Linked DNA regions of Oryzias latipes. The protein of the gene in region 1 binds, or shares a complex with, the protein of each later gene. Links are inferred from orthologs where the notes say so. Each region holds a gene or a part of one and is shown in the gene's direction. Other genes may lie near its edges. The genes, in order: nup98, nup85, nup214, nup188, cetn3, nup107 and nup160.

Region 1 (4,594 bases):
ATTTTCCTATTGAACTCTATGTATTCATTATCCTTTTGATTTTATGTTTAACTTTTTCAATTACCGATACGAAGCCCATCGAGACGACTGTTGTTGTGAATTTGGGTTATACAAATAAAATTGAATTGAATTAAGTTGACATACATGAAGACCCATTGTCAAACAGTCTTGTTTAGTGATGAATGACGTGTTACCCTGTATGGTCCATGTTTTTGTAATGCTTTATTGTTCAAAACACAGAAAAATTTTGCATGACAAAAACAGTAGTCTTAACAATGAGAGTGCCAGGGGTTGTATTACAAAATAAATATTGCAAAACAAATTACTATACAGTTCTCATAAATAAAATATGGCTTTTTTTTAAACTATTAGAAATAGTATGTAAATAAGGTTCTTATTCTTTAATTATTACAGGGAAAACGTTGTAATGAAGAAAACTTAATTTGTGAATATGAAACCACATATAATAATTACATTGATTGCCAATTGTATGTGTGATTTTGTGTTCTTTTTGTGTAGGCCAAATATGATATATTAAAATTTCATAATTCATTCTTCTAAACTGTTGTTCCTTTTCGGGATCACGGGGCTGCTGGAGCCTATCCCGGCCACTTGTGGGTGAAGGCAGGGGACATCCTGGAAAGGTCGCCAGTCTGTTGCACACTCACATTCACACCCAAGGACAAATTAGAGTAACCAGTTAACCTATGAAGCATGTTATTGGACGGTAGGAGGAAGCCGGAGTCCCCGCTGAAAACCGTCACATGCATGCAGAGAACACGCAAACACAGAAAGGTCCCTCATTGGTGTTCTGTTTCAGGTCCCCCAGCCAGGAATTGAAGCAGGAATCTTCTTGCTGTGAGGCAAGAGCGTTAACCACTGCGCCACCTCATCTGAAATTGGGAGTCACAAAATACATCTGCAATTTTGAGTCAAATTTGTGATTTATAAAACATGTACTTTCTTTCTTAAACATTTTAGTAATGTTACAATTCTAAAATAGGTGACTAATTGTTTCTGGGTGTCCTTTACAAAGAGTACAGTTGGGGTCAATTGTCTTTAACATTTATTGATTAGTGGGAAAGATTCTATGTAGGAATCTGTATGAGACATCTCTCATCTTGTTATTGATTAATAATTTCTGATGCAGGGTCCAAATATTTTACCAGCGCAAGTCAGGAATAAATTTTCTCCAATAGGAGACAGCATAGGGAACAGAAATGACATTTTGCTGAAACAGAGCACGTATAACTTTGTTGTTTTTCCAAAGTTGAAGCAAGATTTTCCAACAGTGGTGTCACTTAGAGATAAGAAGGAGATATTTCCATGAGGTACAGTATTTTTAAACAGTTCACAGGTTTCATTAGTAACAGCATCAAAAACAATGGTATACTCTATTGGAGGAACAGCAAGGTTATATTTAAGGTTAAATTCTTCCTGAGTAATTGATCATTGTGGTTAAAGAGCTGACCCACCAGTAAGATATTATTATTATACCAATTATTGTAAAATAAAGATTTGTTCTTGTAAAGGATATTTGCATGGTCCAGAGGGATGGAGTAGCGGGTGATCAAACTAAACTGCTTTCTGGTTTGGTTTGGCAGATCGACCAATCGCTGTTAGATTTCGAGAAGCGCGTCTTTGAACGCATCGTTTCTTACGTCGACGCAATGACGTATGAATGTGCGTGCTCGCGGTTGACAGCGCGGTTTCCCTCCTCATTGCGGCGCTGGTGTTTAGGTAAACTAAACCCGCTCCGAGCCGGCAAACATTTTGAACTCCGCGGCTGTAGTCCTGTGGAAGACTGGTCGACACACAGACCGAGCGCTCCATACAGCGTTGGATCGTTAAAGGTATATATTACTTTAAACCAGCTTGTTAGTTTGAAGATTAGGAATTGCGTTTACTTTGCTAGCCCTCGGCTAGCACGGAAGCTAGCTTGTTAGCATGCTAATGTTAGCTTGACGTAGTTGCATTAAAAGCATCTGGGAGTGAAGACATACTTCATGGACATGAGTTTTTACACTTTGGGTAGTGAGTAAGCACCTTTGTGGGGGTTGGTGAGCGTTTTACAACTTTACTTAAGCGACTAACTAACTAAAGTATCGATAGCCAAAGCAGAAAGATGCTGCTAATGCATCGATGTATTAGCTTTAGCTAAGGTCCAACTGGTTTCCTCCGGCTCGGAATCAGGAAGCTTTTGGTTCTGATTGGGAATTCTTTCCGTCGAGTGTTCAACGTTTTGTATTGTTTTTAAAGATTAATGGTTTAGCTTCCATGTAGACCAGGTTGTGTTCCACGTGGAGCCCGGAGTGAAATCAGCTGGTTACGCTACGTTTGTGTGTGTTTTTTACTAACTTGGTCGGTGCCAGTTTATAAGTCTGGTTGCTTGCCTCGTCTCCATACTTGAGTTTTATTTCAACATAAGCCAATAAAGTATTTAGTTTTGTTGCTAGGTTGCCTTTTAAATGTGCCCAGTAGAATCAACCTGAGGTGTTGAAAACGTTTTTTAATCAAGCTAACATGACTCATGCTCCTCATGCTCTCTGGTGCTGGTCCTAGGTCAGTACCACCCTGCCGTTTTCCAGCTCTCCCTGCACCTTTAGCTGCTGATTACCTAGATCAGGTGTGTTTTGACAACTAGAATGAGGAGACGTCTGACTCGGCTATTCAACAGAAACAACAGAGACAACTGGAAAGGTGGTAGATCATGAGGACCAGGATTTATTGAGCAGCGGTAGACCCTTATTTCCCTTTAGCTCACGGTCAATGTTGTGGATGGGAACATAGACTGGCTGGTAAACTGACCAAAAGGATAATTTCATCAACGTACTTCCTATTCAGAAGCTGTAGTGAGTGTTGGAGGTTGTTCCATGGAAAAACCTGTTATACCCAACACTATTGTTTTTTGATCATCAATCTTTCAATCAATCCTGAACTTGCTATATACTGATGTGTTTGTACATTACTGCCATCCTCCTCCTTTAAACTTATCATTAGAAACATGTTTACCAGCTGGCCTTATCTTTCTCAATCACCTTGCTTGTTATCTTGTGGAATTCTGTTGCTACAGAGTTTCTCAGCTCCTGTTTATCAAAAGTCCACTTCTTGCAAGTTTTTTGTTTATTTATTTTTTGCTGCTCAGGCCAGCAGACTCATGAAACTCTGCACAGGGTTGATACCGACAGTCAATGAAGTCAGTTGTGTTCGATTGATCCAGAAAAGGAGTTGGTGGGTCCTGCTGCTCCATGTCGAGGAACGCTGCTGCACTGAAGCTTTAACTGTTTTTGAACAGGAGCGCCCGGTCTCGGTTCTCAGGCTCCTGCGAGTCTGATTAACCTGATTCAGGGTAAATACAAAGAAGCAGGAGACGGATCCTCTGAGATGAAAGTATTAAAAAAAACAGGAACATAAATTTTCTGCTCTGCTGCAGCAAACTACAAGCTTTAGTTAGTGATAAATAAACAGAAAAAGGGAAAGTTGGCATCTACATTTGCACTTGGAATGTTAACTCAAGAAGGGTTTACAAGTTTTAAGGCCTTACACTAGTAGGTGAAGTTAGTTCTGCTGAGCACATCACGCAGATCTTTTAGTTGCTCTTCCAGTGATGATGGGTTTTTTTTCACTAACATGATACTTTCACAGATGAATGTTCCCCGTTCTCCTTTGTTTGCAGGACTTATGAGGTCCGGTTAGCAGGACACCATGTTCAACAGCTCCTTTGGTACTCCGTTTGGTGGCGGGGCGGGAGGGTTTGGGGCATCTTCTACCTTTGGTCAGCAAAGTGAGTATATTCAATGTTTACATATTCAAACACACAAGTTTATACATATTTGCCTCTTTAGTCTGTATTTTTATTTGTGAGGAAGCACTTGCTTTGTAACCTAAACATGTTTTTCTGTCACAGACAGAATTTGTAGTGTTTGGAAAAGAGATTTTTGTGAAAATATGAAATTTGGGCAAAATAATCTACTTATAGACATCACACAGTAAATATACATTTCCTTTAAATGTCCTTTATGCCAAAATGTTTTTTTTTTTTACTCTGCAAAAATGTGTTGTTGTGTTGTTGTTGTTGGGCTGCACGGTGGCGCAGTGGTTAGCGCTCTTGCCTCACAGCAAGAAGGCCCCCGGTTCAAGTCCCGGCTGGGGGGACATGAAAAACACGACATCAATGGGGGACCTTTCTGAGTGGAGTTTGCATGTTCTCCCCGTGCATGCGTGGGTTTTCCCCGGGATCTCCGGCTTCCTCCCACCATCCAAAAACATGCTTCATAGGTGGATTGGCAACTCTAAATTGTCCATAGGTGTGAGTGTTAGAGTGAATGGATGTGTGATTGAGGATATTCTACCCTGCGACAGACTGGCGACCAGTCCAGGGTATCCCTTGCCTACGCCCAAGTGGCCGGGATAGGCTCCGGCAACCCCGTGACCCCGAAAGGGAATAAACGGTCAAGAAGATGAATGAAAAAAAAAAAAAATGTGTTGTTCAACCTCAAAGATCATTCATCTACCACAACATTTGTGTTAAAGTTCCTCCTGGTATTATTGATGTTTTACCTCTTAGCCTATTATGTGATTTAAAAAGATCAAC
Region 2 (3,450 bases), on another chromosome or scaffold:
CTCATCACAGGTTGGTTTGTTTTTTAAGTCCTCCTTTTAATTATTTGAATTTTTCTGTGAAGGTTTTCCCTTAAAGGATGTCTTTTTGTTTGTCTGTTGATCAGTCTGTGGCAGTTGGCTGTGGATTACTTCGATCACTGCCTCGAGTTTGGTCGTGTCTACCTTGAGCTCCAGATTGAGCGCGTTCCCTTAGACACGGAGCGGAAAGCACTGAAGGTCCTCCGCATTTGTGAACAGAGGCAGATGTCGGAGCAAGGTTCTAAAAGACTCTTTATTCTGTAATCACCTTGGTTCCAGAAATACCATTCAAGTTGAACTTTCTTTCGTTGAGTTTGGCATTTGAAATGTGTTTTTTGTTTGTGATCCAGTACGGAGTATCTGTAAAATCATGGCCATGAGGGCCTTAAGAAACAACAGACTTGGCTCCGCCCTTTCCTGGAGCATCAGAGCCAAAGATGCAGCGTTTGCCACCCTCATCTCTGAAAGGTTGGCTTCTCTTTACAATCTGCACCTTTGTCTTTGATCATTGTTCTGTACATTTAACTTTTAGCTTCACCAGACGTCCAGAAATGGACGTTTTTCTGAGCCGCAGAGTTATTCAAGTTTTCCCTCCTTTTTTCTCAGCTTTTAGATGTAAATCAGTTAAATCACAAATGGTTCTCAAAGCTCTGTTTAATTTGTTGTATTTTTGTCAACCTTTATTGTGTATTCTAAACCTAAAAAGACATCACTGTTTGGTAGGGGTGTAACGGTACACAAAAATCTCAATTCGGTTCGGTTCAGAATTTCATAGGGCTCGGTTTGATATATTTTCTGTTTGTTTTTTTGGTACAAAAAGACAGAAAAAAAATTCTTGCAAAATGCGTTGATTGGTTTTATATAACAATAATAAAATTAATCTATGTAGGTGATCTGCTACATAAAATAATACAACTATTAGCTGTCAGGAACCAAGAACTTTGGATTTTAACACTGGCCTGAAAAAAAAACATTTCTTACCTTTTTTAATTGCGTTAACATATTAGATGCATTATCTGTGGCATATGCTATCTTCATGTAACAATAAAATGTCGAAACGCAGCATTCGACTTATCCAGTTGTCTTTTCCCACACACAAGAGCGTAAGGAGAAATGGGGGGGGGGTCCTTCAGCTCTGGCCTCGCGTCTGCATGATACTGTTGACACGCTCACTGTCAACTCCGTCACCTAATGGCTGTTGAACCTCCTGCAATGAGGTTTCTGAGGCGTAATCGGAAAACCCAGAGGAGATCCTCTACGCCGGAGGCAGAACAAAAAAAAACGTAAAACCGAAACGCTGCAAAAGTGATCCAAACAAAAATTGCCGTACCGAAACGGTTCAGTCCGACTACGTGTACCGTTACACCCCTACTGTTTGGGGAAATAAAACAAATTGACATCTTTCTGTTTTTGTGTCAGATTTTTACAGGATTACTGCGCCAAAGGGACCTTTTCTGATCTGGATTTGATCGACAACTTGGGTCCAGCCATGCTGCTAAGCGACAGGCTGACTTTTCTTGGTACACACTTAAAATACACTTGAATTGTTGTTCCTCCTCCTGCAGAACCTATGAATACTCATTGGGCAACAGCATTTTATTTTTCATTTCTAGGTAATTGTGGATAACGTTTGTCTGCTTGTTTAGGGAAGTACCGCGAGTTTCACAAGCTTTACGGGGAGAAGCGCTTCAAGGAGGCTGCAAAGCTGCTCCTCTCCCTCATGACGGCCAAGATTGCTCCTCGGAGCTTCTGGATGACCTTGCTGACTGATGCGCTGCCTCTGCTGGAGCAGAAAGAGGTCAGCTAACATCAAGTTTCCAGCTTTTGTGGAGCAGTTTTTACACTAAACAAAGAATAAAACCCAACTGAGATTTTCAGCCAAAGTTTTCTTCAAATGTTAAGTTGTATGGAGCCAAATCAGGGCCATTAAGATTTCAAACCCAAATAAAACAACTTGAAAATTCAAGCTAAAATATTGGTGTTAAGCTAAAAAAAAATTAAAGTGTCCGAAACTTTCTGCAATTCTAATAGAAACATAATTATTTTCACCTTCAAATTTTCTGTTTTTAAGTTTCAAAACTCAATTTGAGTTTCAAATCTTTTTTTCCACTTTCAGTTTCGAATCTTTTAGAAGTTTCAAACTGTGTTTTTTTATTCTATCACATATAAAATTCAATATAGGAATTTTCTGTCTGTAAAATCATGAAGTATTTGAATATTTTTGTTTGTAACACACTCTTTTAAATTATCCCATGAGCTTTTGTTTCGTTATTTTGTGAATCAAAAATCATTTCCTAATGACATTGTTGGTATTTAGCAGCCTTAAGCACCAAGCTGTAGATTGTTGCATTTTGATGCAAGAAAAGCTATAAGATATTGACAAAAGCGCCTTTTTAAATGTTTTTATTGGTTTATTTATTTTTTATAAAGGTGATCTTCTCAGCGGACCAAACCTATGAGTTGATGTTCTGTTTAGAGGAGCTCACTTCCTCACTGAACACTCCATCTTCAGACTCGGACAAATCCATGCAGGTACGAATTTCATCCTTTCCAGCCTCTGAAACTTTCATGTAACCTTTCAAAGTAAGAGTTTTTCCCTGTTTGGCTTTGTAAAGCAGCTTTTATTCCCTGTAAAATGTACATCTCTAAATGTTTGAAACTTTGTTTTTGAAGAAATATACTGGATTTGTGAATGGGAAGTTGATTTAAACACTTTATTATATCTATATTCGTTTAGGAGGAAGATGTAGAGTTGACCAAAGTGGAGCTCCTGAGACTCGCGCTATCAAGAAACTTGGCAATGGCCATAGTCAAAGAGGGAACGGTGGAAACATGAAGTACACCCCCTCATTCTTTTCCATGATGTACATAAAATCCAATAACTTTTGTGACTTTTGATAATAAAAAAATTCTCAACCTAAATCAGCTTTTTTATTCATAATGATGTACTTCAAAAGGGGAATATCAAACATCAATACTCTTTTATTTTCAAGCAGCAGACAGATGGCACATTACATTTCCATAATTTACAGTAAACAGACACATCTCACAATATTTACATCAAACACACTTCTGTACATCCGCTCCAACATGACTCGATACCCTTTTGCTCTCACATTTTGATATCCTAAGAAAACGTGTGTTGGACAAATTCTGCTCATGTTACAAGATGCATTCACTGCCAAACTGCACAGTAAAATATTTCAGTCTCAAAATAAAACCTTTCAAACTGCCAAAAAACAGAGCAAACCAAAATTCAGTGATTTAAAAACGCACATGAACATATACCTGAACATATACCAACAATGGGAGGAAAATCAGTGCTTTCATTCCAGGCTAAGGCTCTAACAAATGAAATCACTTTCCCCTCACATTTCATAAAATAAAAATATTTAAAAAAAACAAACAACTGAGTTTAAATGGCTCAATCTG
Region 3 (3,813 bases), on another chromosome or scaffold:
TGCTTTCTTTTATTTTTATATTCTATAGTTTGAAATACCAATATTTTTAAAGGCTGCTAGATTCAACACCCCACAATGTGTGACACTTGTTTGGGACATTTCACTCATCCCTTTAGAGAGCAGAATGTTTTGGATACAACTGCACTGAGAAGGAATCTTTTTAGTTTCTTTGTTTTCAAGTTTCCGCAAGAGTTTCATTAGTTCAGCTCTTTCTCAAATGTTTTCTTTTTTCTCCTGGTAGATGTGGGAACTGTGGATCCTTGAAGATGCGGGTAGGGCTGAACTACGAGTGACCGAGTCAAATGAAGACACTCTGCCTCTTGGTTTGGCAATAGACTACACCAGCCAGCAGGAGATCTACATTAGTAAGTGCCTTTGACTGTCAACTTTCTGCTTTTCAAGTAAAAACATTTGATTCACAAAACGTCAGTTACATATCATATGAAGAAATTCATTTTTCTAAAAGCTTTAGAGAAGCTTGATGGTGTTCATCTTTCTTAACAGTGGGTGAACTTGAGTTATGTACATTTACCTGATTTTTAAAGACATTTCAATCTATTTTTTTCAAGTTTGTGCTGATGTTAATTGATCAGGTTTAAATTTAAATGTACAAAAAAAAAACTCTGCTTCAGTGGTTTAAGTTCTTAAGGACAAATAACGACTGCTGGAAATTCATGTGCAGTTAAATTAAATGTAAGTCCAAGCTTTGTGAAAATTGATTTTAAAAATATCAATTTAGTGGGGAAAAATTTGTCAGACTGGTAACAGCAGAACCGTTTGTCAGTTGGATATTTGGTTTCCTCTGCAGCTTTGATGTGGACTGATCAAAACATTCTAATCTGTTTAGCAGAAACAAATAAAACTGGATGAAGTTGTTCTATTGATTTTAATAGGAAATTTAACTTATGCAGATTCGTAACTGTTGAATAAAACAGACTTATATATTAGTTTTTTTACATCCTTTTTTGGTTTATTGCATTAACAGCATTTATTTTTGGATTGCTCGAGGTTAGTCGAGTAACCTTGAAGACAGATGTTGGTTAATACTTAGCCCTTTTGCTGCACAAATAGACAGACAAAAGTTAACTTTTGTTGAGTGTGTGTGAAATTAAAGTTTAGTTACTTTCAACTCTATCTATTATTATTCTTTTGTTTACCGTTGTATGTTTTGTATTTGTACTTTTCTATTGATCGGATTGAAGCTCAGTTCCATCAGGCTGCTTTGTGCATACAGCATTTACTGCAGTGCTGTATTGCAGCATGCGCAGAGAATAATGATCAGCTGCCGTCTCAGTGCACTCTTTTATCTTAACCGGCCAAGTCTGCCAGACATTCACGTAGAACTGCTGTTGCTGTCTAGTCACATCCCTCACTGCTCCCTCTGAGAACTCACTCTCCATCCCAAAAAGGAAAAGAATGCAGTTTGAGCAACAGTACACCACCAATGTAGTCTGTTCAAAATAAGGCTGTGTGTAAACAAAGCACAGGGCGTAATGGAAAAAACTCATTTGTACGCAAAACAAAAATTGTCTAATTAAAAATGGCTTGGGAACCATAACAAGCAACAAAGCTCAGACAACTGTGCTGCAGAATGCTGATGAGCTTTTCTCACACTTCTCTTTTTTTTATCATTAGTCTCCTCTCTTCTCAATTTGGCTTCAAACTTTGCTTTGACAACAAAAAAAGGGATTAATTGCTGTGCTGTATTTCAATAGGGGGGGGTACTTTGTCTGTAGAACAAAATAAACCTGAAACACTGAAAGAATTATTAAATGGGTGTGTTCAGTTTTCTCCTTCAGGGAGATGAAACCTGTAGCTCAACAGCCTTAGAACAAATCATGATTATGATGATCGAAAAAAAATCGGTCTTGAATAAGTTTAACTAATTGAACTTAAGTCCTTCCATCAACATAAAATCTACAAATGAAGGACCCACTTCAATGAAAATCATGATTTTGGTGTCTTTAACATGTTAGGTGGTGGGTGTGAGCACTAAAGAGAGCACATACAGAGATGAATGATGGGGAAGGGGGCGGGCTTTATCCATGCTAACAGTCCCGCCCACTACTCGGAGGTGAATTTCTAATGAATTCCTACCGCTCTGCAGAAGCTACGTGCTAGAAATTGACATAGGATTTTGGATTTTTGGCTCAAAACTGCATAATCATAATTAAAAGACAACTGGGAAGGCTTTTACAATAGAACAAAAGATGATCAGATAGAGACTTTAAATAAGTCACTGCACAGTCTAATATATGCCATTTGTGCTGTAGATGTTATTTCAATTCTTTAGATGAGATTTTGTCTCCAGCCCACAAGACACTGCAGGATTTTGGAAGTACAGGAAAGTGGGTGTGAGTGGTAGAAAGGTTTGAGGGTTTGGCACGAAGAGGAAGCCGGTGGGCTGTTTTCTGCCACTTCATGCATCTTTAGAATTGCGCTGTCCATATAAATGCAGATACATTTTTCAAACCAAATGCATTAAAGGCAAAGAAAAAGAAGTGGAAACACCCTAACGCACTAACATCTTTGTGCACATCCTGTAAGTATTTTTAAGCTCCATGTGACATAAAGCAGTTTGTGATCACAAACTGTGTGCACACATCACTTTTATTTCCCCTGTGAAGCTGTTTTTATTAACTGGAAATAGCATCGAGCAGGAAGTCAAATATTTTCTATGAGCCGTCTGTAAATGATTATTCCAAACTGAATCCTAATTAATGGACTTGACAGAATTTCCTGCCAGATAGCTTAAAAAAAGAAATTTCTGCTGCCTCTGATCAGCGGGAGGCTGCAATAAAAAAAAAAAAAGAATATTGATATCAAGGCATCAATTTTAAGCCAATTATTTGTTTTATTTTAATTTTTTTGTGTTGCTGAAAGGAGATTAACACTTTTAAAAGGGTTACTGTAGAAAACTAGTCATTGATTTTTGATACCTTCACTCGCCCACAGCCGATGAGAAGACCTTACCTCCAGCACCCACTCTGATGATGCTGTCCACAGAGGGATTGCTCTGCTCATTTGCTTTAGTCAACCAAAACCCTGGGGCCAAACAGCTTGTCTCACCCCCTACAATGCTGACCCCTGAAGGGGAGAGGCTACCAAAGCCAGGTGAGAAGGCTGTTATGGAGAGGGTTGCAGGTGTGAGTTTTGGTCATCCTCGTAAGTAGCAAAAAAAAAAAATTCAAAATTTTACAACTTGTTAATAGTCTGTTGCTTGATTTTAAATTGTTTGCGCAGAAAATCAAATGAAATTTTTCTTATCCTAACCATAAAGTGTAATCTAAAACTATGCAGTCTCCATTTATATTTTGTGAAAAGTGACTTTGTTTTTTTGTGGAATCAGATGACGAATACTTTTCTTTCTGTTCAAAGGTTCCGTGGCAACAGCACCAGCCAAGATTCCTGCTGCAGTTCCTTCTGCTCCACCTGCCTTCCCGAGCATCAGCCTCGCTTCTTCAGCAGCTGCGCCCAGTCCTCCAGTCTCTTCTGCTCCGTCCTCCATTATTCCTTTTAGCATGGCTCCAACGGCTCCTGTGACATCAGCCTTCTCCGGCTTTAGTTTCTCAGTCCCATCAACCTTCTCCACCACCTCTGCCCCAGTTGCAGCTTTCGCCTTGGGAGGATCTGTGCCTTTTGGCTCAGGGTCCTCTGGCTTCTCATTTGCCTCCAAACCTCCGTCTGAGACCCCGTCCGCACTCTCGGCGTTTTCGTTTAATTCCCCTTCCGGCAAACCACCAGCAGTGGCTGCCCCGTCTGCTGCTGTGGCACCTCAGAGCCTTTCAACAGCCTCACCGCCCACAGTCAAAC
Region 4 (3,813 bases), on another chromosome or scaffold:
GAGAACTTTTCTGCCACGATCCAATTCGCCAACAAATCTGAAGTTTGTCCACTTCTTCCTTTAATTCCTGTGAATTAGGTCTGCGTACTCGCACTCCATCTGGCAAAGGAGCTGTGCCGCACAGATGAGGATGGTGAGCACTGGGTCTCGGTAATGAGGAAGGTGCCGGTCCTGCCCTCAGTTATGAGCGCCATGGAGCTCAGCCTGCGCTCCAAACACAACCTGTACTTCACCGAAGCTGCTCTGCATCTGCTGCTTACACTGGCTCGCACTCCTCAGGTAAGAAAAAACGCACACAGAGTACAAGTCGCTGTGACTTTGAGTTGTTTTCTGTTTTTGTGATCATTTTTAACCTGCACTATTTGTAATCCACCATCTGTCACCACTAGATGTCTCTGTTCCCTATTATCCTGACAGTTTTTTTGAGAAACTGTCAATCTTCATCTTTAGTTTTCTCTTTTTTGCTGTTGCTCTTGTGTTTTGTCCTCTTTGCTGATTTGTTAGCATTTTTTTCTTCCGCTGTGTTGAAACTTCCTGTTTTGCACCTGCAATTTAAATTCTGCTCATGACATTTCCTTTGTCTATTACGTCTAAAATGTTTTTGGTGGAGATGGAGACGTGAAAAACCCAAACTGTGTTTCAGTCTGTGTTTAATGTGAAAGAATCTCCGGAGGACTAACAACAGCAGCCGCAGTTCATCACTACAGCAGTTACACAACAGACTGTAAATCTTCTTAAATGATCAGAGCTTATTTAATTCTATCTAAATGACTGCAGGAGAAGGAAAATAAAAAGCTTTTGAGGATTTTGAATACATTTGGAATCGGAATGTCAGATTTAAGCTTTTGAAGTTCTCCTCCTTCTTTTTTTTTTGCTCTTCTTCAGGGAGCAGCGGCTGTAGCAGGAGCCGGAGTTACTGAGACCATCTGTCTTCCTCTTCTCAGTGTTTATGAAGGTCCATCAAATGGAGCCTCTCAGGTGGAATCCGTTATACATTCTTAGAGATTTTCGGGCCAAATCCAGTCGTTCTGAAAGTGTTGCTTCTGTTAGCAGAGCTTCTCCAGGAAGTCGCAGGATGTGGCCTGTTGGCCGGGCGTTTACCGCCTCTGCATGTCTTTGATGGAGAGTCTTCTCAAGACGCTGCGCTACCACTTCATTAATGAAGCCCTGGACTTTGTTGGAGTTCATCAAGAGCGCATCTTACAGGTACGATCGATCAGGACGATTCAGACCAGTGGTCCCAAACCCCCGTCCGTGGACCGGAACCGGTCTGTGGGACGGTTGGTACTGTGCCACAGAGAAAAATAACGCGACCTACAATCCCTCCTGTTTTTATTTATAATCTGACTCTGATGGAAGTTTTATTTTGGAAAACTACAGGATTCTCTCCACTATATCCGATTCATTCTTGACGAATGTCAAGTCGCTCAGTCACATGTCGAAATTCCCTCTTTCCTAAAGCGTCTGCGCCGACCGCTAAAGTGAAACCACCAAGCTAACAAAGTTGAGACAAATCGTTTTTGGAAAGTTTATTTTCGCAGGAAAGAGCCAAAAGGGAAACAGACGAAGAGCCTTTGACTTCAAAATAAAAGAAATCTACGTTAAACAGACAACCCCAGGAGTTTTTACTTGAAATGTGGATTTATTGCGACAGTTGTTTCAACACTCTATAGTAATGCTGAATATTCAGCAACCAGCTGTCTAATGTTATGAAGATGCTGCTAATAAAGATACTCAAACAGTGTAAGACAATTATTATTATATTTAGAAAACAACAGTTTTAGTTTTGTATTTATCCATTACACCTTAAAAGTCAGATTAGGCTGAGGTTGGCGTCTGATTTTATGTATTTTTTAAGCTTCTATTTCTACGCTAGATTTAATGTAGGAACTATTCAAGTTTAAAGCAGCTGCTGATATTTTACAGGGAATGAAGATAAACTTTACCTCAAAAGTTAAGTGAAACCGGAGGCTGTGAAAATTTTGTCTGACATTTAAACGGTCTGTGGCCTGAAAAAGGTTGGAGACCACTTCTCAGGTTCTCGTGTTTCAAACTTGTTCCGGCAAATCTGGATCCATGCATCCTTTTTGCTGAAGTCCTGTAGGATCCAGGGCGGTTTGGGTTTAAAGGCATGTCGGTTTCTCTTCCCTCAGTGTCTGAACTCCATGCGCACCGTTCAGAGCCTGGCCTGCTTGGACGAGGCGGATCACACGGTTGGTTTCCTCCTCCAACTGTCCAGTTTCTGTAAGGAGTGGCAGTTTCACCTCCCCAAGCTGCTCCTGGACGTGCAGGCGAGTCCACATTTCATCACACTTTCAGCAGGAGATATCATTCGGAGCTCATAAACGTTTTTTCCCCTTCTGTTTGTGTTCAGATCAACCTGTGTTACCTGTGCCAGACCTGCACATATCTGCTCCACAGCAAGAAGATGCTCCATCACTACCTGCAGGTCTGAACATCTAAGGATTGCTTAACATTTCATAAAAGATGCTTAATAAATGTCACATTTGTCGTATATCCCTACCAGAAACTTTGTGTACTTGACAGACAAAAAAAAGTCATGAGTTTGTGTTTTGTAGGCCAAGAATGGTGAGGCGTTGCCTCCTGGTCCCCTCTCCAGGACCCAGCGCCCCCCTCAGACTCAGGCAACAGCAGGGGCAGCGGGGGCAGAGGAAGCCGAGCAGAAGGCCCTGCTGACCGTGCAGTGCAGCCTTTTGAAGATCCTCAGCAAAACCCTGGCTGCTCTGCAGCACTTCACTCCCGACTGCTGCCAGATCCTCCTGGACCAGGTGAGACCGCTCAGATCCTCCGCTTTCCCCTCAGGCTCTCTACACATGTGATGCACGTTCACGATGGACTGTCATTACTTAGTACTAGCGCATAAACCTACAGTGGGAAGACGCTTGGCGTCGAAGCGGTGCAAATCTAGTGAGTCTAGCTCCAGGCTTTTTTTTTCCCTCAGCTCTATCCAGATACAGGAAAGACTTGGTGTCATAGAATTCTGGCTGGGCAAAAACTGCTATTATTAATTTCTCCTTCATGATGAATTTAAAAACGGTTGGCACTTCTGTGACTCAAAAAGGACGCCATCCATTCGTCATGACCACAAATGTCCCCGATTGGTCAAAGTTCATCAGGTTTTACGTGGAAGCCCAAATTGCGCATATATGCACATTTACACAGACCTCTCATTGAAGGCACAGTACAATGAACGTAGCTTTACATGAGCGGAATATGTGCTCGACTATTTACTAAGCCACTTCTGCATCAGTGCATGGACCTGGCCGAGTACCGGACCCTGTTTGTGCTCAGCTTCACGACTCCGGCCTTTGACCCCGATGTGGCGCCTTCATTTGGGACCCTGCTGGCTACGATCAACGTGGCGCTCAGCATGCTGAGCGAGGTACTCTTCACATTTTTGTTGCAGGTTTTAGCTGCAGGCAGTCCTTGAGCGTTTTATGTTCTGTCTGGACAGATGGAGAAGAAGAAGGAGACGGCTTCGGTCAGCATAGCATCGCTGGCTTCATCCGAAGAGCTCCAAGCTCTGAAGTGAGTCAACTCCTTTCTGTAGTCAAGCAGCATGCGGTAGTGCACCAAAAGACGCTTTCTTTCCCCCCTAAGGTCACTGCTGATGTTCACCATGGAGAACTGCTTCTACGTGCTCATCTCTCAGGCTGTCCGGTGTCTCAAAGACCCCTCCATCCTCCCGCGGGACAAACAGAGGCTCAAGCAGGAGCTCAGCTCAGAACTGGTGAGGGCTTTGAAAGTTCAAAGATGGGATTTTAAATGAGTAATATGCAGACTATAGAACAA
Region 5 (4,483 bases), on another chromosome or scaffold:
GCTTTCTGAGCCTGAACCTTACCCCCCCCCCCCCCCACTGCTAAATGTGCACACCTGTATACGTGCACGCCTGCACACGTGCACACATCCCTTTGGGTTCTTTAGAAAGCCTCCTCTATGACGCTGGCTAAATACCTGTGCCCCCCCCCCCCCATGAATTCTCAGACTGAGTTGGGGGTGGGGTGGGGGGTAAAAACAGGAGGGCTGGCTGGAAATCAAACACAGATCCTCCTTCAGCTGAACAGAAAGGAGAATGTTCTGCCTCCAGAATCCTCCTCCAGTCAATCATCGCAGTGAAACTTCAGAGGCTCCAGTAGGAAATTCATCAGGAGGAGTTTTTTTTATGCTGTTATTTTCATTCCGTCACAAACTACTGCCTGTTGTTGTTGTTACCACCTGTTTTTTTGTATTTTTTTCTGACTTAGACTCTGCTGAGCTTGAATCTCTCCTGAGGCGACATGGTTTTTCACTCAGGCGTTATCTAGGATGACACATGTGACACAGGAAACGCCCCGACGTGAGCCGAGACCGGGCGGCACCTTCATCCCGGAGCACCATGGGAAATCCCTGATAAAACTGAGACAAAGCCCAAATCAGGGGTGGGGGCACAAAGACCCTCGGGAAATGCTCCAAGCATTTCCAGAGGGTAGAAACCTCCGGCAGGATTCCAGAGAGAAGGACGACTGTTCAACAAGCCAGGACCATTATGGGTTACATGCCTTTAATGTTGACAGACAGACATCAGACATAACAGGACCGTTGACCAATGTTTATGAGGAAAACTTGTCATCAGTTCAGAGTAACAAGTTACAACAAATAAAGGGTGTGCTGAACTGTTGGAGGACAAAGTCTAATATTTAGGTGTTTTTAACATGTTCTTGATGATGGAGGACCATGTATGAAGAAAATTAAGCGCAAATTTTCATTTGTTGTGAATCAGGAGCAGACTAAAAAAATGCAGTTTAAAAAAGAAAAAAATGTGCTGGGCGGTGCCACAAGCTCCGTGCTGCGCTCCATTCCGATGCATTCACTGTCAGACAAATAGATCCATAAACATCTCTGTTTTCCTGGTCTGAGCTGGAGTCTGAACTGGACGAATGGACGGATCTGATGAGGCTGCCATTTTTGTTGCACCAGTAATGTTGGGGGGGTTGGGGGGGGGGCTGTTAGATAGCAGGAAAGAGTGTAAACAAAGGAATCATGGGAAATTAGACAGGCTTACTGTGTGCCAATGGCCACAACTCAGAGGAGAACCTCTGATGAACTCCTGTGGATCTGCAGAAACTGTCCTGTAAAACTGTCCACAGGAAGGGAAATAGATCAAAAGATGGCCGGAATGTGTCTTAAAGTTATCTGGATTATTCTTTTGTGAATCACAAACTGATTTTCTATTTAAAGTTTTTCTACATTTTATTTGACTTTGAAAAGGATTCCAGCGTCAGTATTAGCAGATGTAGCAATGACAGACGACAGCAGGGGGCGCTGGTGTCCCGCTTGGGTTCAGTTTGCTCCCGAAGAAAAAAAAACAGAGCGCCACTAAGCGAGCGCCTTGCTGTTGCCTAGAGACCACCGACCAATGAGGACCTCGGATCTGAGCGCGGACACGCGGGGTTTGTTTTTGCTCGTTGAGCGACAGTAGCCGTTCCTTGGAAGTGAAATCTTCGCGTTTGGATCTGCAATTCGATCGCAATGAGTCTGTCTCTGAGGTGAGGATCGCAGCTTTTACGGTGACGTCATTTCCGGTTCTCTCGCCTTGTTAGCCGACGTTAGCATGTCGCCCGTTTGCCTCAAACATTCAGAGCTTGTTGACCGGAGACTCGGTCAAAGGGCTGCGTCGGTCCAAACGGTCCAAATGTGTGTCTGTCAAAGGGTTCGGTTCGGTGGAGCTGTCTCTGAATCAATCTGAGCTTGGCTGAAGACGTTGCACCGAAATTCTGTGACCTCTCAGGTTCTGTCCTCGGTAGATAATATTTCACCTGATTTGGACTTTCCGGGACCAAAAGCTCGTTTCGGGGAATGAGTTCTTTTATTTTGAAATAACGTTTGTTTTTCCACCATATTTGGTCAAAGGTTCTCCAAATAAACCTGTTGTGACGTCAATGTGACAGAAAAATATCAGAAATAGGATTCTGTGGTTTGTGGTCAAATACTACGATAAGACTAAATGGGTCTGGGTTCTTATTGGCTCAAATCTGATCGGAGATCTCTGAGTTGGTTGAAGCAGGTTTCTCTCTCGGCTCAGAGTTTGCCGTCAGTCTTCTCCTGCCTTCATGTCTGTTCCTGACTGATGAAGATGTTCAAACTCTTGTTTTTTTGTCTTCGTCCATCCTTCACGGTTGAACGGCGAGGTTCAAGCTCTGGTTTGTGGTCACAGGGAGAATCTGTGACTCTGGTTTTGCTCCGCAGAACCGACCAGGCCGACAAAAACAAGCCTAATAAGAGGAGGGAGCTCACCGAGGAGCAGAAGCACGAGGTCAAGGAGGCCTTCGACCTGTTTGACACGGACAAGGACCGACAGATCGATTATCACGAGCTGAAGGTGAGCGGCGGCGGATCGGATGGAAACCGTGGAAACGAGACCAAAGGTGTCATCTGTCACGGTCCCACCAGGTGGCGATGCGCGCCCTGGGCTTTGAAGTGAAGAAGATGGACGTCCTGAAGATCCTGAAGGACTACGACAGAGACGGGAACAGGAAGATCACCTTTGAGGACTTCAGTGAAGTAGGTGAGTCACTGGCCTCCTCTTCCTCAGAGCCAGGCGACGAGGAGCCGCCCTGAAACGCGTCTGCCCGCAGTGACGGACCGCATCCTGGAGCGGGACCCGAAGGAGGAGGTCCTGAAGGCCTTCAAGCTGTTCGACGACGACGAGTCCGGGAGGATCAGCCTGAGGAACCTGAGGAGGGTCGCCCGAGAGCTCGGCGAGGACATCAACGACGAAGAGCTGCGCAGCATGATCGACGAGTTCGACACCGACAGAGACGGAGAGAGTAAGTCTGCATTCGCTCAGGTTAAAGCCACGCCCCCTTCACCGGATGACACGTGTTCTGTCGTTGCCGCGGAGATGAGGGTCAACAGCCTGTACTTATGTAGCTCTTATGCAGGTCTAACGCGTTTTAAGGTCACTCTGAAGGCGGCAGAGCTGCCATGACAACAGAGGGGCAAGGTGGGGGTTCAGTCTCTCGCTCAAGGTCACTTCAACGCATAAACCTGCGACCTCCTGATCGTAGGTGGACCGCTCTTCTCCCGGTGCGGCTCCTGCTTTAGAAATCCCATCGCTCTCTGACCTCCATGGCAGGAAGGTTCTGGCGTTCCCGCTCCGAGGTCGCCGGTGATTGGGCGGAGAGCGCGGCTCCTCCCCTCACGGTTTCCTCAGCTGACCTGTTCCAGAGTTTTAGCGACCCGAAGGCCCGTACACACCGGGACGAATATTCGCCAGGCGTTATTCGCCAGCGTTTTTCTCCACGTTTTTTGTGTTCACACCCAGGCGATTTTCGCTGACGATGAGCCGAGCGAACATGCAATTTCATTCCCTGACATTAGATGGCGCTTAATGTAAACAGAAATACTCCTGTACACAAGGTGGCGCTGCGCAACTTTACGCTTCTTAAAGTCGCTTTTCACTCAGAAGAAGAGAGCAAGTATTTACACGCTTGTCAGAATCAAACAAAGAAAACATTAATATTTCAAGCATCAGTAGCTCCAACTGGTGCTTGGTTCGGGGATATTTTAGAATGTCCGTCATTATTGCTTCGCGGCTGTGTAGACGCTACTTGGCGTCTATCTTCTTCGCTGGTATGTGTGCTCAGCAAGGCAGTTTTGTGTTTGAGCGCCCCCAAGTTGTGTTTTACTGTAACTTCAGAAGCTCCAGACACGTGAGCAAAAGCGCCATTCTCATTGGTCGAATAGATTTCGATGCGACGCGTCGAAAAAAAAAAAACGAACCCGAGGCGTTTTTTTTTTTTGACGCTTTAACGCATGGCGTTTTTTCGCGTCGGTGTGCACACTCTCGTTGGTGCCCTTTGTTTAGTCACGAGGCGTTTCGCCGACGAAATTCGTCCCGGTGTGAACAGGCCTTGAGAGTCTGAGCAGACCGGTGTTTCCTCAGTAAACCAGGAGGAGTTCCTCGCCATCATGACCGCAGACTCCTGAGGAGGAGCCCGGAACGCCTTCTGAGCTGGACCCAGACGTTTCTCCACAGAGCCAGTGGACGCCCCCTCAGAGCCCGTGAGTCTGAATCCCGCTGGACATGAGAAGACTTTCCAACAGTAAAAACTGGACTGACTTTCTGTAAAGATCAAGATTTAAGTCGATCTTGACTTTTGAACTGTTTGTGTGAGTGTTTTATTTATTTTTCATAAAATAAAGAGTGTTTTCCCCAACAAAGTTCTTCCTAATAGTTCAGAATTTCCGCCGCGGGTTCAGAACCCGACAAACCCTCAGTGTGGCTCCTCTGGAGCTCAGCCGCTCTGTGACGCTGCAGCTG
Region 6 (4,335 bases), on another chromosome or scaffold:
AGAATTTGATCTGCATGAAGTGGTTATGTTTAAAATCCCTACATATTACAATTCTATAGGAGCTTGACTTGCTGAATGTAAATATTATTTAATTTAAACAAAATTAGGCGAATTTCTGTTGTTAGAAAAACGTTTCTTCTTCTGACCTGCTTTAAGAAAGAAAAGTCCGGTTCAAATGGGATGTTCTAGCTTCTTTTTAAACCAGAACCTGCGTCATTGATCAAACAAATGCAGAAGAACGCGGTTCTTTTATTCTGAAATCCCGCACCAGAGTCTGATCTGCGGGGTCCAGGTTCAAATCTGCGACCATCTGATGAATGACCTCTCTGTGCGGCCGTCGCCTCCAATCCTGCCACGCAGTGGGAAAAGTTTACCTGGGGTCTCCATCTTCCCCCGGGTCAAACAGACCCTCTGGCAGCGCTGGGGATCCGCCGGCGGGGGTCGATCCGGCCTCTTAGGTGACCAGGACCCGCTGCTGACCGTGAGAATCTCCTTTTCCGGTTCTCTGAACGGCGGAGATCTCCTTTTAACCGGACCACGAAGCGTCCGGTGTTCCTGCTTTAGCTGAGCTGCGTGAATCGATCACGCAACAGCGGCAGCTAACGGAGCGGAGGGCAGAGCACAAAGATGGTCTATTAGGAAAGACGTCTCACTCCGACCACAGCCGGGAATTGACAAGGGAAAAAACTCCTAATACATCCTTTTAAAAGCGTTTATCCGACACAATTCAACTTCTATGTAGGGAACATAAAGTGTATCTTAATGTATAAAAATATTTTTCAACATGTTTTTTTAAACGGAATTTTCAAATAATACACAATCTTTGAAATCAGACGTATTGAAACATTTTCCTTCCTGACATTACAATGTTCACTCTTGTTAAAAAAGACCCTTTTTTCTAAAAACTTCCTGTTTATTTAATATCAAAATTAGGCACAACTTTAAAGTCATTTAAAAAAAATGCAGGACAACTATTTGATTTGATTTAGATCAAATGCATCATATCATATGGTTAATGTGTTCTTTGTCATTCTGTTCTCTGGATGGAAGTTCAAATAACATCAGCTATTAAAATACAAGTTTAAACAGTTTGGAGTGTTTAAGAAAACCTTTTGTAACATAAAATCTGTACAACACACAAGGAACTCTGTCTTTCAGCAGCTGAACAGGCCAAAGAAATGAATGACTGAATAATCACTTAAAATGTAAATATGACACAATTACACAAATGTGAACTTTTTTAATCAAATAGTGGATCTGAATATCTATTTAACTAAATGAATAAATCTAAAAAACACAAAAAGGCAAATTGATACACAAAATTACAAATAATAGGATTACTGAAAGAAAAGTGAAAATTAAAAGATATGTATATGCTTAATTAATATTTAAATTAATATTTATATTGTCTTTTTTATTTCGTCCTCTCAAAAATAGATGTAATCTAATGGTGAACTCTAGGGGGCAGCAGTCAGCTGACAGGCCTGACAGATTTACCTTAAATTCAAAGGCAGATTCGTGAGAAGAGGCGAAGAAGTAAAAGACCAGAGAAGAAGAAAACATATCGGAGCGGGAATCGGCTCCAGCATGGACTGGTAAAACATTTTAAATTTTTGTGTCATTAATGTGACCAGCTGTGAAACACTGATACGTTCACATTTGTACGGTTCGATCGGTCAGTTTTTGCGTTTTTGTTGTCTCCGGGAAACGTTACAAGAGTCAGATTAGCAAACGATGCTAGCATCAAGCTAATCAGTCAGCTGAATGTCATGACGTCTGTTTAGTCAAAAATAATGAATGATAGGTTTAAAGACCCACTTAGGTTAAATTCTGATCTATTTTCAAAGCGTTCCCAGTGTTTTTATTTTTTTGATTGTGCTGTTTTTTTAGCCAAAAGACAAACACTTGTCGTTCTTGGACACAGTTATACTAGTAGTAGTATGTTCTTCTGCAGAGCGGCAGGAGTTAATTAAACTCCCTCAACTCAGGTGTACTAATGATTAGTACACCTGAGTTACACCTAACCCCACCCCCTTCCCGTCACCCATATTTGAGATCTCTCAGTTGTACAGTTTTGATCCAGATTCCAGCTCAGACGTGGAAAACAAAAACGTTCATGGATCAATTTTTGTCGGCAAATGGATTAAATTCAATTCAATTCAATTTTAAGGGGAAAACTCCCATAAAAACGGATTCCGGAAAAACGAAGAAACCTCAGGGGTGTCCACATGAAGGAGGGATCCTCCCCCAGGACGGACAGGCGATTTACCAGAACTCTTAGAGAAGAATTTACTTATCTAAATCTACAACTACACATTTAAAGTCCAGCAGACGAGCTTCATCCAGCCGTGGTTGGGGGGACAGTCAAAGGCGCGAGTCGAGTCAGAGGCAGGATCCACAGCCAGGTGTAGGAGCAGGAGCAAAGGCGAGGTAGACGGTCAGCAATTGGAGCACGGATGATCCAACTGGAGTCTGGAAGCACTCCCACTCCCCAGGAGGGGAGAGGAAAAGAGTGACAATACATGAATCACACTGCACCAAACAGAGGCATGGAGAACTAAATGATGAATAATGATCAAGAATAGAGGAGAGGAAGGGTAGAAGTAGAAGAGAAAAGAGGACAGAACCCCAGTGCACCATAGTTACCCCAGCTTCAACTTCTAGCAGCCTTTTAAAAGAAAGTTATTAAGTTTAATTTAAACAAATTAACATTAAGTTAAATAATCTCTGAATACTAACTAGTCTGACAATAAGCCTGTCCAAAGAGGAATGTTTTAAGTCTAACTTTGACTGTAGAAACTGAGTCGGCCTCTCTTCCATGAGCTGGGAGTTTATTCCATAAGACAGGGGCTTGGTGGCTAAACGCTCTACCTCCAACCGTACTTTTACTAATTCTAGGAACCACAAGCAGTCCTGCGTTTTGCGAACGAAGTGTTCTGATTGGGTGGTAAGGAACTATGAGATCTTTGATTTAGGACGGGGCCATTCCATGTAAGGCCTTATAGGTTAACAGGAGGATCTTGAACTTGATTCTATAATCAACTGGGAGCCAATGGAGCGAAACCAACACAGGAGTGATGTGATCTCTTGCATTCTCTTGCATTGGATGCATCAGAATGGAACTTGTGGCCCCAAACGGCATATTTGCTACATGATATTTATTATCTTTTTCATTTGGCGCTTTTTCGTCTGTTCCTGATTCACATTGAAATGAAACTAGGAGAAAATTGGCTTTTCAAGTAAGATAATGTATGTTTCTGTTTTGATCTCTCTGACCTCCAGGGGTCAGAATGAGCTTCCGTCTCCGGTGGTTCGAGAGGAGGAGGTGACGGTCGCAGCCAGGAGGAGGAAGAAAGTGGCTTGTATCCTCCAGCTTCAGTAGCTGTGTGTGTTTCTGTGCGTCTGTGTGTACAGTTATATGTCGGGACAGTTTCTTTGTTTCTCCTGACTCTTGGCCTCAGTCCCGTCACCCAGTGGTGGCAGCCCCATCGCTTCTGCTGCAACACCAGCCCGCCCCCACCTGATCAACACTCCTGCCTCGTTGTTCAGGCAGGCCGGTGAGATGCTCACATTCATGTCAGATCTGAGGCTTTGAGCTATTCCTACCTCATGTCTCTGCCTCTCAGTCACCCCCAGGGTTCCAGCCACTTCTTCTCTTTTGGTTCCTGGAGGTCGAACGCCTCGATTCATGCACACGCCCAGAAACGCGCTCAGCAGTCTGGTGAGACCCTGATTAATGTGCAGGGACAGCCGGGATCAGCTGCAGTCTGTAACTCAAACCCGTCCATTGCGTATCTAGAATTTGGACGACAGCGATTGGACCAACAGCTTTTACACCTCGCCCGTGTCTGGACTGGAGAACACCAGCTTCTTCAAAGACGATGCTGCCAACCTGAGCTCAGCCCTGCTCAAGGAGGACGATCCAGGAGATGCAGGTGAGGAAAACAAACCACTTTCATGCCTTCACATCACACGCCAATCGGGTGTCAAATTCGCTGCTCGAAGCTTGTCCTAAAATGTGTTTTTAAACCTGATGTGAAATTATGATGTGATGACAGTAAAAGACTGAATAATTGATGAGAAACGAAAAAGCCTCATTGTTGTTTGAGCAGCATCTCCAGGTACATTTCCCTCTAAAGAAGAAAGCGTATCATTTTTTAATAACCAACCTCTCCTGACTTTGCTTTCTCTGCAGCAGCTGCAAGTCTTTTCCCAGAATTCCTTGCCTCCTTTCTGAAGCACTCTTCCTCTGCGGTGTTTGACCTGTTGGAGGATTATCAGAGCCTCTGCCAGGAGAAGGTAGAGTAGAGCGATGCCTTTGAGCAGATCAGGTTC
Region 7 (3,754 bases), on another chromosome or scaffold:
CCAGCTGACTGTAGAACGGGAAACCCTTTCTGACACGCAGGTTCTGCGTCTTCTGGAAGACATGGGTCTGCCGGAGCTGGTGGTCCAGTTGGCCTCTCTGGCCGTCACAGAGGCGGGAGGGGGGGCGGTTAGGCAGGTAAGAGGTGATGGCCAGACTCCTGCTGGTTCTGATGGAAAGCTCCTCATGTGTGTGTGTGTGTGGGTGTGCAGGCCGCTCTGTGGACAAGGATGTTCAAGCACCATCTGGACCTGGGACACAACAGCGAGGCCTATGAAGCTCTGACCCAGAACCCAGACAGCAGCATGTATGTTCTCACAGAAGCAGATCTGTGCCGGCGCCGCTCAGGGCTTTCGAGGTTCTGACTGCATTTTGTTCACAGATCAGCTAATTTATAAAAAACAAACAAAGCAACAGATTGACTGATCATGTGACCTGTGAGGTTGCTAAAACCCTCATAAATGTGATCAAGAAGCCTGACGTTTCAGACGGAACCAATAAGAAAGTTCTGGAGCTGAGGCTTCCTGCCGTGTTCTGATCGGGGTTCCTTTGTGTCTTAGGCAGCTGGACTGTCTCCGTCAGCTGGTGGTGGTTCTGTGTGAGCGCTCCCAGCTTCGAGATTTGGTCCAGTTCCCCTACGTAAACCTGCACGACGAGGTGAGACTTGAATCAGAACCAGAACCACAGATGGTATCCTTGATCAGGTGGTTTACAGACCAAACTGGTTCTGCCGCCTGGACCTTTGCTCCACGCTGGATATTCTTCAGGGAAGTTCTGCGTCTCTGTGGTGGTTCTGAATGCAGTCATATGACCCTCAGGTGGTGAACATTATCGAGTCCCGGGCCCGAGGTCTGGACCTGTTGACCCACAACTACTACGAGCTGCTGTACGCCTTCCACATCGGCCGACACAACTACAGGAAAGGTGAGGCCGTGTACAGCACGCCACCCCCCACGCATCTGTTGGCCCCCCCCCCCCTCACTCTTCTGCTCTCTCAGCGGGGACGGTCATGTTCGAGTTTGGGATGCGTCTGGGCCGGGAGGTCCGGACCCGGCTGGGCCTCCAGAAGCAGGTGAACTGCTACCTGGCTGCTCTCAACTGTCTGAGACTCATTAGACCCGAGTACGCCTGGATCGTCCAGCCGGCCGCCAGCAGCGCGGTGAGCACGCAAATGTACACGCATGTTCACACACACACAGGTGTGCATACTAAAACCATCACATGATTTCTCTGGGTGCAGTGCAAGCGGGCGGGGGCATCGCCAAAGAGAAACTCAGACGGAGATATTCTTGGTGAACCAGGTGAGCCTGGCTTTGTGTGCGCGCGTTATTGTGCGCGTTATTGTGGGCGTTATTGTGCGTGTTATTGTGGGCGTTATTGTGCGTGTTATGGTGTGCGCCTGCATCTTTTGTGTGAGTGTAGCAGGAACATGTGTGGGTCCATAGGTGTCTGTGTTTGCAGCTACAGGGAGGCAGCAGGTGGACATCCTGGAGCTCCAGAATCTAGAAAAAGAGTACTTCCTGTCCCGCAGCCGCCTCACGTTGGCGCAGCACCACCCATCCTCTGCTGCAGTTGCAGGTATGTGTGGGAGGGAGACACACGTGACAAACCCGATTCATGAAGAACATGAGTCGCCCCACACTTGAGTCAGATTGTGTGGTTCTGATGGGTTCACCAGCCTGTTGGAACGTTTGAGGTGGATCCTGCAGGTCAGATCTCTGTTTCCAAGATGGCTCTGCGTCTCAGTTCAGGTTCTGTGTTTAGGCGCTGTGTCGGAGGCAGAACTCGTCACCCTCCTGGTCCAGAACGGGCTTTTTGACTCGGCGCTGTCTCTCTGTCACACCTTCAAGCTGGACCTAAGTCCGGTCTTTGAGGGACTAGCCTTCAAGTGAGTCCAGGAAACACTCTTGACCTTCCTTACATCTTCTCATCTCTTCACCTGCTTCTATGAAGTTAGGCTCCTCCTACATAGATATTTTTCAGTGGGTAGGGTGATCACTTAAATGTGGGAGGAGCTTAGGAGACCATAAACCCCTCTTGGTTTGTTCAGGTGCATTAAGCTGCAGTTGGGAGGGGAGGAGTCTCAGAATGAAGCCTGGAGCTGGTTGGCTGCTAATCATCTGTCTGTCATCAACACCAAGGAGTCCAGGTGAGGGATTGAGTGGGTGTTATGGCGGTGAGTTGACACACCTGTGACCCCGCCCCCTTCTCAGTGCTGCAGATGAGGCGTGGCGCCTGCTGGCCTCCTACCTGGACAGATATCCCTCCACGAATGGACAGCATCACCGCCTCGTCATCCACAAACTGCTGTCACATGGGGTGCCTCTGCCTGATTGGCTCATCCAGTCCTACAAGGTGAGAGTGGGCGGAGCTAGAAAGGTACGAGGTGGCTGGTGGTAAAAACTGACTGGGCTGTTTCACTGCAGCGTGCTGATGCCCCGTCTCTGCTGCGCCTGCTGCTGAACTTTGACCAGCTGGAGAGCGCCGCTGAGCTGGTGTTGGAGTACGTGGACGCAGTTTTAGGTCGTGGTCACCAATACTTTGGAATCCAGGTGAGAAGATGCAAACTTGGAAAGTTCCTCCAGTTCTTCTGAAAGTGAATTCCTGCCGTCTTCTCAGAACCCACTGTCTGCCACCTCCCACCCGGCGTGGCTGCCGTACACCGCCATCGACCAGCTGCTGCGCGCCTTGAGCGAGACGCAGACCCACAACACTGTAAGTCACTTCCCATGTCCACGAGAACCCGCCGTAGAGACGCCACAGACTCTAACGACCCTGTCTTTCAGCTCCACACCAGAGTCCAGGACAAACTGGACGAGTATCACAGAACCGTACGGCAACTGAGCGCGCTCAGACTCACCACGCAAAGACGGCAGATAACCACATGAGGCGCCGTCGCCTGATTGGTTTTGTAGTTGTTGTTGTTTATGAAAATAAAGTGTTTTTGTAACTGATGAGACTTTTCTTTGAAGGCACAAACACTCGTACCATGACAGACACAAAGTCCAACGTCTTTCCATCTTTACATTTCTGCTGGAGAAACACTGAGATTGATGAAAATGTTGGTGAACAGGAGGAAGGAGCAACTGGAAAGATCCAGAAAAGGTCTGGATTTCACAATAAACCACATCCCATCTTCATCCAGATTTTGAAGAAAAAGATCAATCTTGCTCTGAGGGCGACTGCATGAAACTTGAGGAGACTCAACCTGTCCAGGGGGGGGCACCAGATGGAATCCAGTGAAACAGCTGCCCAGGGATCGTCTACAAAGTGCATGCTCCAGAAAAAAAGGAATCTCTAAAATAGTTATCATGTTCATGCTACAGCAACGTTTTTCTTTTCAAAGAAGTCATTGTTTTGAGTTTTTAATCATTCCAAATAGAGATATGAGTCACTTTCATTGTCAAAAATGAAACTACAGGGGGCACTAGTGAGATGGAGAAGGATGTGTTTTCTGGGCTCCTTCATATTCATATTTCATGACTTTTCCTGATTTGATGGGGACAACTGATTAAGCATAAAATTATCATGGTGATATTTTTCTCAATGTGCTAAACACATATTGCATACATTGGTGTTTGAGCCCAGGCTGTTTTATCTGTGTAAAACATGTCTGTGTGTGAGACCAAACACCCCCACACTTACAGGTGCAGAGTTCATTTTTGAGTTGATGCCAAAATGAAGAAGTCAATGTAGGCTATTGAGTTGATCTCATCCAAATGCTTTCCAACTACAACTCTAAAATTATCATTTTAA

The links.
Region 2: nup98 (region 1) and nup85 share a complex: the UniProt entries of both Homo sapiens proteins name them as parts of the nuclear pore complex. The link is inferred for Oryzias latipes from reciprocal best matches to the Homo sapiens genes NUP98 and NUP85.
Region 3: nup98 (region 1) and nup214 share a complex: the UniProt entries of both Homo sapiens proteins name them as parts of the nuclear pore complex. The link is inferred for Oryzias latipes from reciprocal best matches to the Homo sapiens genes NUP98 and NUP214.
Region 4: nup98 (region 1) and nup188 share a complex: the UniProt entries of both Homo sapiens proteins name them as parts of the nuclear pore complex. The link is inferred for Oryzias latipes from reciprocal best matches to the Homo sapiens genes NUP98 and NUP188.
Region 5: nup98 (region 1) and cetn3 share a complex: the UniProt entries of both Homo sapiens proteins name them as parts of the nuclear pore complex. The link is inferred for Oryzias latipes from reciprocal best matches to the Homo sapiens genes NUP98 and CETN3.
Region 6: nup98 (region 1) and nup107 share a complex: the UniProt entries of both Homo sapiens proteins name them as parts of the nuclear pore complex. The link is inferred for Oryzias latipes from reciprocal best matches to the Homo sapiens genes NUP98 and NUP107.
Region 7: nup98 (region 1) and nup160 share a complex: the UniProt entries of both Homo sapiens proteins name them as parts of the nuclear pore complex. The link is inferred for Oryzias latipes from reciprocal best matches to the Homo sapiens genes NUP98 and NUP160.

The regions. Positions count from the first base shown.
Region 1 is NC_019872.2:23,886,234-23,890,827, reverse strand, and holds the start of nup98 (nuclear pore complex protein Nup98-Nup96), read left to right. Parts: upstream 1-1,703; 5' UTR 1,704-1,853; intron 1,854-3,676; 5' UTR 3,677-3,705; coding exon 3,706-3,784; intron 3,785-4,594. UniProt on the Homo sapiens protein: Plays a role in the nuclear pore complex (NPC) assembly and/or maintenance. NUP98 and NUP96 are involved in the bidirectional transport across the NPC. May anchor NUP153 and TPR to the NPC.
Region 2 is NC_019866.2:13,014,385-13,017,834, reverse strand, and holds the end of nup85 (nuclear pore complex protein Nup85), read left to right. Parts: coding exon 1-10; intron 11-104; coding exon 105-256; intron 257-368; coding exon 369-486; intron 487-1,437; coding exon 1,438-1,538; intron 1,539-1,664; coding exon 1,665-1,816; intron 1,817-2,448; coding exon 2,449-2,550; intron 2,551-2,755; coding exon 2,756-2,854; 3' UTR 2,855-2,940; downstream 2,941-3,450. UniProt on the Homo sapiens protein: Essential component of the nuclear pore complex (NPC) that seems to be required for NPC assembly and maintenance. As part of the NPC Nup107-160 subcomplex plays a role in RNA export and in tethering NUP96/Nup98 and NUP153 to the nucleus.
Region 3 is NC_019870.2:10,694,181-10,697,993, reverse strand, and holds part of nup214 (nuclear pore complex protein Nup214), read left to right. Parts: intron 1-241; coding exon 242-365; intron 366-2,955; coding exon 2,956-3,165; intron 3,166-3,378; coding exon 3,379-3,813. UniProt on the Homo sapiens protein: Part of the nuclear pore complex. Has a critical role in nucleocytoplasmic transport.
Region 4 is NC_019870.2:8,149,281-8,153,093, forward strand, and holds part of nup188 (nucleoporin NUP188 homolog), read left to right. Parts: intron 1-78; coding exon 79-279; intron 280-885; coding exon 886-978; intron 979-1,053; coding exon 1,054-1,206; intron 1,207-2,153; coding exon 2,154-2,291; intron 2,292-2,374; coding exon 2,375-2,449; intron 2,450-2,579; coding exon 2,580-2,789; intron 2,790-3,271; coding exon 3,272-3,403; intron 3,404-3,475; coding exon 3,476-3,549; intron 3,550-3,621; coding exon 3,622-3,751; intron 3,752-3,813. UniProt on the Homo sapiens protein: Component of the nuclear pore complex (NPC), a complex required for the trafficking across the nuclear envelope. Required for proper protein transport into the nucleus.
Region 5 is NC_019870.2:1,965,780-1,970,262, forward strand, and holds cetn3 (centrin-3), read left to right. Parts: upstream 1-1,540; 5' UTR 1,541-1,689; coding exon 1,690-1,706; intron 1,707-2,406; coding exon 2,407-2,539; intron 2,540-2,610; coding exon 2,611-2,725; intron 2,726-2,795; coding exon 2,796-2,987; intron 2,988-4,105; coding exon 4,106-4,149; 3' UTR 4,150-4,383; downstream 4,384-4,483. UniProt on the Homo sapiens protein: Plays a fundamental role in microtubule-organizing center structure and function. As a component of the TREX-2 complex, involved in the export of mRNAs to the cytoplasm through the nuclear pores.
Region 6 is NC_019881.2:22,230,607-22,234,941, reverse strand, and holds the start of nup107 (nuclear pore complex protein Nup107), read left to right. Parts: upstream 1-1,492; 5' UTR 1,493-1,587; coding exon 1,588-1,595; intron 1,596-3,282; coding exon 3,283-3,362; intron 3,363-3,461; coding exon 3,462-3,557; intron 3,558-3,626; coding exon 3,627-3,721; intron 3,722-3,799; coding exon 3,800-3,935; intron 3,936-4,195; coding exon 4,196-4,299; intron 4,300-4,335. UniProt on the Homo sapiens protein: Plays a role in the nuclear pore complex (NPC) assembly and/or maintenance. Required for the assembly of peripheral proteins into the NPC. May anchor NUP62 to the NPC. Involved in nephrogenesis.
Region 7 is NC_019864.2:4,345,133-4,348,886, forward strand, and holds the end of nup160 (nuclear pore complex protein Nup160), read left to right. Parts: intron 1-40; coding exon 41-136; intron 137-210; coding exon 211-305; intron 306-558; coding exon 559-655; intron 656-816; coding exon 817-922; intron 923-996; coding exon 997-1,157; intron 1,158-1,238; coding exon 1,239-1,299; intron 1,300-1,459; coding exon 1,460-1,576; intron 1,577-1,762; coding exon 1,763-1,886; intron 1,887-2,048; coding exon 2,049-2,147; intron 2,148-2,211; coding exon 2,212-2,353; intron 2,354-2,424; coding exon 2,425-2,550; intron 2,551-2,617; coding exon 2,618-2,713; intron 2,714-2,784; coding exon 2,785-2,886; 3' UTR 2,887-2,952; downstream 2,953-3,754. UniProt on the Homo sapiens protein: Functions as a component of the nuclear pore complex (NPC). Involved in poly(A)+ RNA transport.